Linked DNA regions of Drosophila melanogaster. The gene in region 1 interacts genetically with each later gene. Each region holds a gene or a part of one and is shown on either strand. Other genes may lie near its edges.

Evidence for each region. Genes that interact genetically often act in the same process or in processes that back each other up.
Region 2: of Hrb98DE (region 1) and Parg, changing one enhances a phenotype caused by changing the other (phenotypic enhancement), as found in Drosophila melanogaster (one study listed by BioGRID).

The regions. Positions count from the first base shown.
Region 1 is NT_033777.3:28,598,588-28,606,277, reverse strand, and holds Hrb98DE (heterogeneous nuclear ribonucleoprotein at 98DE), read right to left. Parts: upstream 5,872-7,690; 5' UTR 5,761-5,871; coding exon 5,710-5,760; intron 5,573-5,709; coding exon 5,083-5,572; intron 4,750-5,082; exon of another isoform or gene 4,610-4,749; intron 4,581-4,609; exon of another isoform or gene 4,431-4,580; intron 4,402-4,430; exon of another isoform or gene 4,262-4,401; intron 4,132-4,261; exon of another isoform or gene 3,992-4,131; intron 3,939-3,991; exon of another isoform or gene 3,789-3,938; intron 3,723-3,788; exon of another isoform or gene 3,583-3,722; intron 3,507-3,582; coding exon 3,331-3,506; intron 3,267-3,330; coding exon 2,960-3,266; intron 2,908-2,959; exon of another isoform or gene 2,756-2,907; intron 2,671-2,755; coding exon 2,597-2,670; 3' UTR 2,580-2,596; intron 2,218-2,579; exon of another isoform or gene 1,183-2,217; intron 817-1,182; 3' UTR 501-816; downstream 1-500. Other genes in the region: CG9986 (uncharacterized protein), read right to left, coding at 1-110; Noa36, read left to right, coding at 7,057-7,548, 7,641-7,690. UniProt on the Drosophila melanogaster protein: This protein is a component of ribonucleosomes.
Region 2 is NC_004354.4:3,668,305-3,673,076, reverse strand, and holds Parg (Poly(ADP-ribose) glycohydrolase), read left to right. Parts: upstream 1-1,574; 5' UTR 1,575-1,709; coding exon 1,710-2,422; intron 2,423-2,489; coding exon 2,490-3,948; 3' UTR 3,949-4,240; downstream 4,241-4,772. Other genes in the region: Ilp7 (Insulin-like peptide 7), read right to left, coding at 4,373-4,542, 4,665-4,772.

The sequences.
Region 1 (7,690 bases):
TTTTCCTGGTCAAAGGGAAAAGTGATGTCCAGCCGGGATTCGCAGTCTTGGCCTTTATGATTTTTATACTTGTACACAAAGGGCAGCGTGCGAGTGGCAGTAGAGTCCATTTCAGAGGTCCTTAGTCGGTGTTTTAGTTAGTTATAGTCATTAATTCGCAAGTTAACGCCCCCTGCCTAAAAGAAATGCAATTAGTATGACCGTATTGCGACCGCTTAAATATATCGCAGAAAACTTATTCACCACTTAGAGAAGACTCAAACCAACAACAAAGTGACAGACACAGTGCTCATTTATCATGATTTATTATTTTCAGTGGACTAATTAAAATTTAACATTAAATGCAACAAAATGAATGCTTTGAAAATCATTCAACTATATAAAACGGAATTTGCGATTTTACGCCAATCACGTTACATTCGCAACGCCATTATTGTTCAAATACCGTTATTTTCCCCCACTGGTGAAATTTTAATTCAAAATGAAACGAAAATCATTTTGTTTGGTATTCTGAAATTTCTTTATTCAAAGATAGTAATAATGAAAATAAAATGAAGTAATAAATAAAAGTCGTATATTTACGATGGTGCAGAGGGGAAACCGTTCAACATCCATTCCATCCTCAGGTGCGACGAGCCGATTCAGACCACCTGAAAGTTACAACTTTTTCCGGATTTGGGATCTGCGGAGGATTACTTACCCAGAGGGAACCGAAACCCAGCGACCGGAGTTGCTAGCAAACGCGGGCACCTTCCGTGGCTGCATTCAGTAGCGCGGCGGCAGTCTTTCAGCGCTTCGCATACTTTTCGCAGCCAACTGGCAACAGAAATTACAATAATATACATGGTTGTAAATGACATGGTACAGCAGGCGGGGGGCAAATCAAATAAAAGGGGAAAATGATTCCTGTTAAGCGAGTGAAAGGAGAACTCTCGAACGACGTTAATGGCCCGCCCACAACAAATGCTATAGTAAAGTACATATTCTTGGCTGGCTTTTGGACCTGGTCAGACTTGCTGCACCTTGTTACCTCTGCAATACACTCTCATTCTGATCGAGATCCTTTTGCTGATGCTGCTACAGAAATATAGAAAACTACGAGGCTTTGGCTTAGCTATATACTTTTTGTTCTTTCGTCAGAGTTTACATCAATTGCGGGACACTTGCTTATTTTTTTTTTTTGCATCTTGTATTTTTTAGCTACATTAAAATGTAAATTTTGTTAAGTATAATTGCGCTGACTCCTCAGACAGACTGCTTGCTAAAAGGTATAAATTACAATAAAGGTTGTTTGTTGATCGGTTACATCTAAGCAGCGGAAGAGGTTATATCCATGTCGACACTTATTCAAAAATCTAAGTATCTAGATTCCTCCACACACGGTCAGGTTCGCTTAGAACTTGAATAGTAAAATTATTAAGACTAGGGTAGCGTGCGGATGGATGCAGAAGTCGCTCCGCACGCTCTACTCGATTTAATTCTATGAGAACTTAGCCTAGTAAAGTTGTAAAATGTAATACATGTTTTTATATATTTTGTGTTTTCTGCTCTGATTATCAAAAGTTGCCGGCAGCCGATGGACTGGAGAGCTGTCTGCAACCAAAGAAACATATCTCTCGGCTGCCGCCTTGAAGTTTTACATAGCTGATTCGTTTATGACTGGTTGTTTTAAGTAGGTTGGTTGGTTGGTTGCTCGTGTGGTGGAGATACAAATGTTTGGCCTGTCGTCGGCTTTGTGGATCTAATTACAATGTTACTTATATGGGCTGCTACATATGGGTTGCAAATTATAGATTACAATTCTGTGGGTATTGGATAGTTTTCGATGCGCCTCTTGACATTCAATTTATCATCGCTTGCAAAGACAAATTGAATGGAATCCTGGTCACCTTCTGTGTACGTGTACTGCCACTTGCTGTGTTTCTTCTGTTTAGCTCACACACTGCTCTGCACTGCACTGCACTCTGTATTGGTCTGGTCTTGCTTGGTACTGATCTCTCTTTCTGTTCTAATCCAAGACTGAACCAAACTTCTTACGACTTCACTGCACTGCACTGATCCTGATCAATCAATCTGTAATGTTTGGTTTGTGGTGCTCGGAAAACTTCTTAGGACTATGAACGTGCGTTCATACTTCATCATATTGATCATTGAATTGCGTATCGTTTACTTGACTTTGAATTTTGGGATTATACTGAGCGACTTTTACTTTATCACCTATAAAATGTCGATAAATGAGAAACGTTATTTAAAACAATTGGTATGAAAAGGAGTTCTTAATTGGTTGATGGGTTTTTGTTCTCTAAATACTTAAAAGTGTAAATACGTATATAAGTTTGTTGAGTAAGGTGGGTCGGACTGTCTCAGCCGTTTTGCTTTTTAGTCTCAATATGCTTTATAAACTACCAAAAATGCCGATAAGGGCGCTATTATAAAAAAAAAAAAACACACAACATATGTTTGTCAAATCAAGCGAAAGATTAATGGTCATACGGGATAGATAAGCGGTTAGTTATGGCCTGAATTCGCCTTGGACTATGTATATTTTTGTGTTAGTAGTGGTTATTTGGATGTCTCACCTCGTCCGGAATCTCTCTCAATATCTGCGGTTGTTGCCACCGTTATTGAAGCCCTGATTGTTTCCGCCATAGTTGCCTTGATTGCCACCGCCTAAAAGAAAACCCAGGATCGTTAGGAACATATCCAATCGTCTTTCTAGTCTAGTTTCTATACTGGTGGTGACTGTTCATGAAAAAACTGTAACGTGGCTGCGTGTTACGTCGTACTGGGATTATCTTACATACGCATAACATAGCGAAGGCCATCGTCAGTTGATCTCACAGCGTTTAATAAGCTAACTGCCAAACTCTATCGACGCTCTAACAGTTAGGTGTCAGGGTACTGTGTCTTGCTATCTAGTTGTTATCAGTAATGCATCAACAGACGTGCTGTTGCTCACCTGCTTTGAATCCACCACCTCCTTGGTAGGGCTGCATGCGATTGTTGTTGAAGTTGCCGCCACCTCGCTGCGGACCGCCGCCATAGTTCTGCTGGTAGCCTCCAAAATCATTGCCACCATTGTTCCAATTGTTGCCGCCGCCTCCAAAGTTGCCGCCTCCATTGCCATTGTCCCACGGATTGTTATTGCCCCAGCTGTTGTTGCCACCGCCATAACCACCACCGCCGCCGCCGCCACCACCGAAGCTGTTGTTGCCCCAGTTGTCGTTACCCCCGCGGTTGTTGCCCCAGTTGTTGCCACCGTTGTTCTGCAATGCCAATTAACCAGTAATAAGCCTCAAATCGAATTGATGGCGATCAATAAGTTCTTACCCAGTTGCCGCCACCATTCTGGTTGCCGTAGTTTCCACCGCCCATGTTTCCGCGGTTTCCACCGGCACGACCACCCGGACCACCGCGTCCTCCGCCACCTCCCTGTTGGTCATTCTGCTTGGGCAAGGCCTTCTTTACGTCCACCATTTTGCCATTCAGCTGATGCTGCTTTTGCACTGCAAAAATAAAGAGGGAAAGCATGCTATTAGTGGTATTCGAAAATGAACTTCCCTATGTGGTGCATCCGGAGGATAGTGTGCCATATACTCTTTCATCATTGGTGCACAAACACCACCAACAACAACAATATAATACTGGCTGGGATTTCATCTTACAGTCACAAACGCCGCACGAGCACATCGAACATTGCTATGCGGAGCTGGGACTGTGGAATTTTAGCTAAAATTAGGATCGATATCGGATAGTACACATTCACCATTTCGGTGCATTTGATTTGCAGTTGTAACGAGGCTGCGTGTTACACAGAATTGATTTATAATATACATTCGCATCACATAGCTTAGCCGACGCTTAAATTAATCTCACAGCGTTTAAATAAAAACCATACAGGCGACTTTTTCAAGCCCGTCAATTTGTCAGTACTGTGACGTCCACGAAGGGGCTGATCTAGAAACTTTCTGTTTAATCGGTTCGATAATCAAGGTGTGCCTTATACTCTTTCATCGTTGATGCACGAAGAGCACCAACAACAATGATATAATACTGGCTGGAATTTATTCTAACAGTCACAAACGCCGCACGAGCACATCGAACATTGCTGTGCGGAGCTGGGACTGTGGAATCGTAGCTAATTTTAGGAGATATATTCACGCTAAATAACATTCACCATTCTGTGGATTTGTCAGTATATTCAAGTAAGCGAAGGCATTTAGATACTCATTCTTTTCATATAGTTGGTAATTCAATGTGATATTGTGCCTTATACTCTTTCATCGTTGATGCACGAACAGCGCCAACAACACGATATAATATGGGCTGGGTCTTTTATCTTACAGTCACAAACGCCGCATGAGCACATCGAACATTGCTATGCGGAGCTGGGACTGTGTATCGATTTCCATAATAGCAATTAATTGAACTATTGTAACGAGGCTGCGTGTTACACTGAATAGGCGCAATGCTTACATTCGCATAACATAGCTTAGCCGACGCTTTAATTCATCTCACAGCGTTTAAAAAAAAACTACCCTGGTGATGGTTTCAAACCAGTTAATTTGTCAGTACTGTGATATTAGGAAACAGTTTTAGATTCAAGCTATAGTGTGCCATATACTCTTTCATCGTTGATGCACGAAGAGCACCAACAACAATGATATAATACTGGCTGGAATTTATTCTTACAGTCACAAACGCCGCACAAGCACATCGAACATTGCTATGCGGAGCTGGGACTGTGGATATATTGTAATAATTGCAATTTTATCGAAATTTCTTGCTTATAGTGCGCATTCGTTTATCCGACGCTGATGGACATTTACGAGAAGCCCTACAATGTGCCAGAGCTGATTGAGCATATAGATTAGGGGTGGTTGCATGTCATACTTTTTTTCTACACGAACGCCGCGTACACAAATGGGGTTAATATTCGTTTCCTGTGCAGATAATTCAATCTGTATTGTATAAATCTAAGAACATGGCAATGTGATTTTCCTAACAGTCTACTCTCGAAGAGATAAATCATTCTTAAAGGATATTTGATATTGTCTAGATTAGGAAAAGCGTTGTACTTACACACAACTTTGTCCACGGGATCGTAGTCGTCGAACTCGACGAAGGCGAATCCGCGTTTCTTGCCAGTCTCCTTGTCAATGACTATGTTGATGTCGACGATGTTGCCAAAGTGCTGGAAGTAGTCGCGGATGCTCTGCTCATCATGGTCGTCCTTGAGGGCGCCAACAAAGAGTTTCTTTACGGTGGCTCCGGCATTCGGGGAATCAATGTCCTGACGGGGAACGGCGCGCTTGGGCTCCACCACTCGACCGTCGATCTTGTGGGGACGCGACTTTTGGGCCTCATCAATCATGCTCGAGTGGGAATAGGTGATGAATCCGAATCCGCGGGAACGCTTTGTGCGCGGATCCTTCATGACCACCACGTCCACGATGTTGCCCCATTTCTCGAAGTGAGCCTTTAGGTTCTCGTCGGTGGTACGGTAGTCCAAGCCACCGATGAACAGCTTGCGCATATGCTCCGGCTCGGTGATGGAGTCCTGAGGAAAGTCCTAAATTATTGATTTTATCAATGGCCATAACCTCACTTTCCGCCCTTGAGACACATGCGTAATTTTCAAAATGGCGACCGGCAAGGCGAGACACCAGCTTACAGGAAATTTCTAGACCCTTAATATCCACTACTTACATCATCATGGCCATTGGAGTTGCCGTTCTGGTTCTGGTTCGAGTTCACCATTTTACTAATGCAAAAGTTGAACAACTTCTAATCTAACTATTTTTTTTGCTATTGCAAATGGAGAAAGTCCCCTGACACACGAGACGAATGAAAAAACTGAATACAGTGTGACCGTTTCTACAACCCGATTAAACCCAGCACCTATTCGATACTACCTAGAACGATAACGATAAGTTGACAGACACCCTTGTCAATACAATACTTTTACAATATCTGCCCTGTTTCTTTTCACCATGCCTTAAAAAATGTGTGTAACATGTGTATTCTTGATCACGCCTTTTGCACTAAAAAGCTAAAAGAGAAACCAATACCGACAGCATCGTACTCCCTAGCACTATTAAGATACAACTACTGTTAGTCTTAGTCTTAAGTAACAAAACCGCAACGAAATGCTTTAGCACATCAACTTTAGTTGCCGCATGGGTAAAAGCGCGTTGATCACCAAAATATATATATATTGGGATTATGGCCGAACTGAGTTTTTTCCCTGTGCAGTCGCGGTTTTGTGTGCTACTTACATCTTGCTCCTCATTTTGACCATTGTTCCAGTTGTCGTGACCACCCATTTCGAAGAACTTATATTTAAATATCTTTACTGCTCTGATATATATCTCAGCAATACTATAGAAATAACGACACTGGGAACGAAAGACGCTCACTGTAGCACCCCTTCCCTAAAACTGAAAATATATTTTCCTGTGGAAAGGAAAGCCGTAGACAGACCTTACAAAAATACTAGACCTAAATAAAAGCAAAGGTATTTGGTTACACTAATCGGTTGTTGCTTCCACTTGTTTCCACTGAAAATCTATGTGGGTCAAATTAGCGTCTATGGCAGAACGGTGAAATATGGAAAATGAGAATCTTATTTATTTATTTAATTTTTCGCTATTTATAGGTAAATTCCAAAAAAAATACAAATGCAAAAATCTTAATAAATCGAACTATTTAAGAGATCTAACTATCTATGTACGACTAAAGTTTATAGGACTCAGAAAGTATATAAAATATGCAATAAAAAAATCGGCTAGCTACTTTTCAAGGAATATCTCCACTCGCAGAGCATATTCCAAAATGCACGCTGGCCAGAAAAATGATGTGTTAAATTACTCGGCTCCGCCGTCGCCGCTAACTCCACGATGCTAATTTAACGCATTTTTTGTAGCTATTTTCAAGATGTAGCTACATATTTAGCGGAATATTCGAAAGCTTTTTGTGGTATTTTTCGGCGCACCCGCAGCAGCCACACTGCCGCACACGTAAGGAAATAAGTTTTCTAATTCCTTGATTTCAAAAATGCCGAAAAAGAAGACTGGGCAGCGTAAGAAGGCCGAGAAGCAGAAGCTTCGCCTCAAGGAGATCCGCAGCAGAGAGGTGCCTCTTGCGGATTTGCCCTGCAATGCACCAATGGAGTGCGACAAGTGCGAGAAGAAGCAGAAGTCGAGAGCCTTCTGCTATTTCTGCCAGAGCATTCAGAGATTACCCATTTGCGCCCAGTGCGGGAAAATCAAGTGCATGCTAAAGACCGGCGACTGCGTGGTCAAACATCCGGGCGTCTACACCACGGGCCTCGGAATGGTGGGCGCCATCTGCGACTTCTGCGAGGCTTGGGTTTGCCACGGACGCAAGTGTCTCCAAAACCACGCCTGCACGTGTCCGCTGCAGAATGCGACCTGCCTGGAGTGCGAACGCGGTGTCTGGGAGCACGGTGGGCGCATCTTCAAGTGCTCCTTCTGCAACGGATTCCTGTGCGAGGACGATCAGTTCGAGCACCAGGCCAGCTGTCAGGTGGGTAACCAAAAATACTCATTAAGCTTGTTCCGAACTTCATTTTGAGATTCATATGACGCCTTTTGGTAATGCAATCCATTCGGTTCCAGGTGCTGGAGTCGGAGAACTACAAGTGTCAATCGTGCAACAAGCTGGGTCA
Region 2 (4,772 bases), on another chromosome or scaffold:
TAAGTTCATGCTTTTGAGGTGACCTTGAAAAGTTTACTAACATCGCGTTTTCGTCGCTCGCTTTTTCCAAGCGATTATTCGGCTCTATGCATTTTTGTTGTTGCTTGTTTTTTTTGCCAACCCCCGAAACGCCACCCCCGATTATTCCTAGTATTTTCGCTGACGCAAATGAGAAAAGAGAAAGCTCTACATGTACAGTGCAGACTCCCATTGCGTTAAAGTTCATCAACGAAATCTAAATGCTCGGGATTTACACCTTTTTCTGAAAATTTATTTAGTAAAATAAATTTCACTTAATATCTGGTCTCTTTCTCTCTCTATCTCTTTATGTGAAAATCGATCGTTTAACTTATTGAGAGTTGACAGTACTTTTTTCGAGTATTTCTAGGTTATGGTCAAGGCGAAATCTAAGCAAATTTGAAGGCTACGCTCAGGTACGAAGAGCGATGAAGAGAAACGCCTCTTCTTTGTAGAATTCTACTGATAATTCGATTTTTGTTTTTGTGTTTTTTTTTTTTGCTTCTCCTTGCAAAGCTTTTTCGTTTGTTTACGCAAAAAGGAGAGAAAGAGATGGTGCAAACAAATTTCGCGGAGAGATAAAGGTGTGTTGAACTTTAGCAAAAGTACATTTCATAAATTATATTTATTTTGGTTTTTAGCTAGCTGTGAATTTGCTTTTGCGTTTTCCTCAGATGCAAGTGTGTGTGCAAATTATGTATGACCTTTTTTGTATTGTTTTTGCGACGCTTTCAAAACAAACAACTGCGCTCTCTCTCTCTCCCTCTCTCGCTCTCTTGTGTCCATTCTCAGAGTCTTTGCACGTGTATGCAGCGGTTTCTCTTCCTCTTTTCAACACGTAAGCTTGAGCAAAATACCACAATCACATAAATATATACATAGGTGCGAGTGACAGTGCCACATTAAGGGTTAAAAACTGAAAAAATTTGATTTGACCACTGACGTCAACGAAATAACATTTTCTTGCCAAACGTGATTATAAAAACATAAAACAGCAATTACTTTCCGCCGCTTCTTACCTTTTTGAGTATTAAATACATTTATAAAAGTTTCGCAGACGCCTTTAACTTGATTTTCCTTGGTAATATGCACTATTATTTTTACCGCACGAAGGACAGGAAAAAATCCTTTCACTTAACGTAAAACTTGGCGCTCGTTATGATAGTTTTACACTTTAAAAAAAAATTAGAGAAAATAGTTGACAAATTGCTGGAAGATTTGTTTTTTTTTTCTTTTTGTTTGTTGTTGTTCCTTCGGCGGTTATATTTGCAATTCGCATTGCAACGGACACAGTGTTGGTATTTCTCGTGCTGGTATTTAAATACTAGCGACAATGAGAGGTAAAATACCACATGTAATGGTCACACTTTCGCCCGCCGAATTCAAGGCAATGCAATTTTGAATTTGTTATTGATTCATTCTCAAACGAATACCAACATATATTTGAATATATTTCGATATATAAACGCTTCAATTCACTACGCTTCAATCGAAGTGTGTGGTATTTATAAAGTGCGATATTCATCACAGCTATCGCTCATCCCCAAAACACCGGTATGCAAGAATTCAGGTCACACTTGATTTTTCCGATATTCCAAAAGGTTTACCAATCTACGGCAAATCGCCGCAGAGCAAGTGCATCCGTGCTGACCAATCGACTCGGCAAGGCTTTGTGCTTAAACTGCGCCAGGATGTCGAAGTCGCCGGATGGCGGGATTTCCGAAATAGAAACGGAGGAGGAGCCGGAAAATCTGGCGAACTCCCTAGATGATTCGTGGCGTGGAGTTTCCATGGAGGCTATACATCGTAATCGGCAGCCTTTCGAATTGGAGAATTTGCCACCAGTGACTGCCGGCAATCTCCACCGGGTTATGTACCAGCTGCCAATTCGTGAAACACCGCCACGCCCCTACAAATCACCGGGAAAGTGGGACTCCGAGCATGTGCGTCTGCCCTGTGCGCCCGAGTCGAAATATCCGAGGGAGAATCCGGATGGCAGCACCACCATCGATTTTCGCTGGGAAATGATCGAACGAGCCCTTCTGCAGCCCATAAAGACGTGTGAGGAACTGCAGGCGGCGATAATATCATATAATACCACCTATAGGGATCAGTGGCACTTTCGTGCCCTTCATCAACTTCTCGACGAGGAACTGGACGAGAGCGAAACACGGGTTTTCTTCGAGGATCTATTGCCGCGCATTATCCGATTGGCATTGCGGCTACCGGACTTGATTCAATCGCCAGTTCCGCTGCTCAAGCACCACAAGAACGCCTCATTGAGCCTGAGCCAACAGCAGATCTCCTGCCTGTTGGCCAATGCCTTCCTGTGCACCTTTCCCCGGAGAAACACCCTCAAGAGGAAGTCCGAGTACAGCACTTTTCCAGACATCAACTTTAACAGGTGAGCGTCCACCAGATTCGTATATCTTCAGTCGAAGTATGTTAAATATATTCGATTCCATCAAAAGGCTTTACCAATCGACGGGACCGGCAGTTCTGGAGAAGCTTAAATGCATTATGCACTATTTTCGTCGCGTGTGTCCCACAGAGCGGGATGCCAGCAATGTGCCCACCGGTGTGGTAACCTTTGTTCGTCGGAGCGGATTGCCGGAACATCTGATCGACTGGAGCCAAAGTGCGGCGCCGTTGGGTGATGTGCCATTGCACGTGGATGCCGAGGGAACAATCGAGGATGAGGGCATTGGACTGCTGCAAGTAGACTTTGCCAACAAATATTTGGGTGGCGGTGTCTTGGGACATGGCTGCGTTCAGGAGGAGATACGCTTTGTTATCTGTCCGGAGCTATTGGTGGGTAAACTCTTTACGGAGTGTCTGCGACCATTCGAGGCCCTGGTGATGTTGGGCGCCGAAAGGTATAGTAACTATACGGGATATGCCGGAAGCTTCGAGTGGTCCGGCAACTTTGAGGATTCAACGCCAAGAGATAGCTCAGGTCGTCGACAAACGGCCATTGTGGCAATCGATGCCCTACATTTTGCCCAGTCACATCATCAATATCGCGAGGATCTCATGGAAAGGGAGCTGAACAAGGCGTACATTGGATTTGTTCACTGGATGGTGACGCCGCCACCGGGTGTGGCAACTGGTAACTGGGGTTGCGGCGCATTCGGCGGTGACTCCTATCTGAAAGCCCTGCTGCAACTTATGGTCTGCGCCCAGTTGGGCAGACCTTTGGCCTACTATACCTTTGGAAATGTGGAGTTTAGGGATGATTTTCATGAAATGTGGCTGTTGTTTCGAAATGACGGGACTACGGTGCAGCAGCTTTGGAGTATTTTAAGGTCGTACAGTAGGCTTATTAAGGAGAAGAGCTCCAAGGAGCCGCGTGAGAATAAGGCATCCAAAAAGAAGCTATATGATTTTATTAAAGAGGAACTTAAGAAGGTCAGAGATGTGCCCGGAGAGGGAGCATCCGCCGAAGCTGGAAGCTCTAGAGTAGCTGGATTAGGCGAAGGAAAATCAGAAACATCAGCGAAATCCTCGCCAGAACTCAACAAGCAACCCGCCCGACCGCAAATCACCATAACGCAACAAAGTACCGATCTATTGCCCGCGCAATTATCGCAAGATAACTCAAATTCTTCGGAAGATCAGGCCCTTCTTATGCTGTCGGACGATGAGGAGGCCAATGCCATGATGGAGGCCGCTAGTCTGGAGGCTAAAAGCAGCGTAGAAATAAGCAACAGCAGCACAACGTCCAAAACGAGCAGTACAGCCACGAAATCAATGGGTTCAGGTGGCCGCCAGTTGAGCCTGCTCGAGATGCTGGACACCCATTATGAAAAGGGTTCGGCCTCGAAGAGGCCACGAAAATCACCCAACTGCAGCAAGGCTGAGGGTTCAGCAAAGAGTCGTAAGGAGATCGATGTGACCGACAAGGACGAAAAGGACGATATTGTTGACTAGGTGATATTGCACTACAGGATTGTTACTGCCCCCAAAATTGAAGAGGTATAAAATGTATTGTAGATAACTTTAAGGACATATTTAGGGCATTTTAAAGTAGGATCATTGTAAGTCGAATAAAGTGAAATTTTTTTTTTTTTTTTAATTATACTATTCTAATCTGCAAAGACAATTTTACTGTTAAATTTGTATAACATTGATTGATTAATATAATTTGTTATATCATGCAAATCTAGCTTTTATTATGCGAAATTTGTAGTTAAAGCCAGTAAAGTTTCTTTTTATTTAACCGAAACCTTTTGTTTATTTTATTTGACCACAACAAGAACATCAACAACAACAACCACGAAAAAAAAAGCGAATATATATTTGTTTGTTCGTATATATATATATATATCTAAGCAGATCCAACGTCGATGGCCAATCAGTAGTGATTGCGTCGCTTGTTGGATGGACAATACTCGGCGTATTCCTCCCAGGTGCAGCCCGCCTTGGTGCAGCATTCGTTCGATATCGATGGAGTGTTTCCATCCGATCGACGACTTCGCAGAAACATGTTGGCATAGTTCACGTGCAGCCAGGTGGAGCCATCAGCTGGAAAGACAGCAGGTGGTATCATATCGATATCAATGGATCTATAGCATAGATGTACATGTGTACATCGCTTGAAATTCCAATCGTCTTTGGTTGGAATGGATTTCGATTCAACAACTTACGTTCCGTGGTTGTCTTCTTGATCCAAGCCTCATCATTGCCCGTCCTCTTTTTGTTGCGCCGTGTCAGTCGGTAAATGTCCTTCTCGCAGGCCCAATATAGCTGGCGGA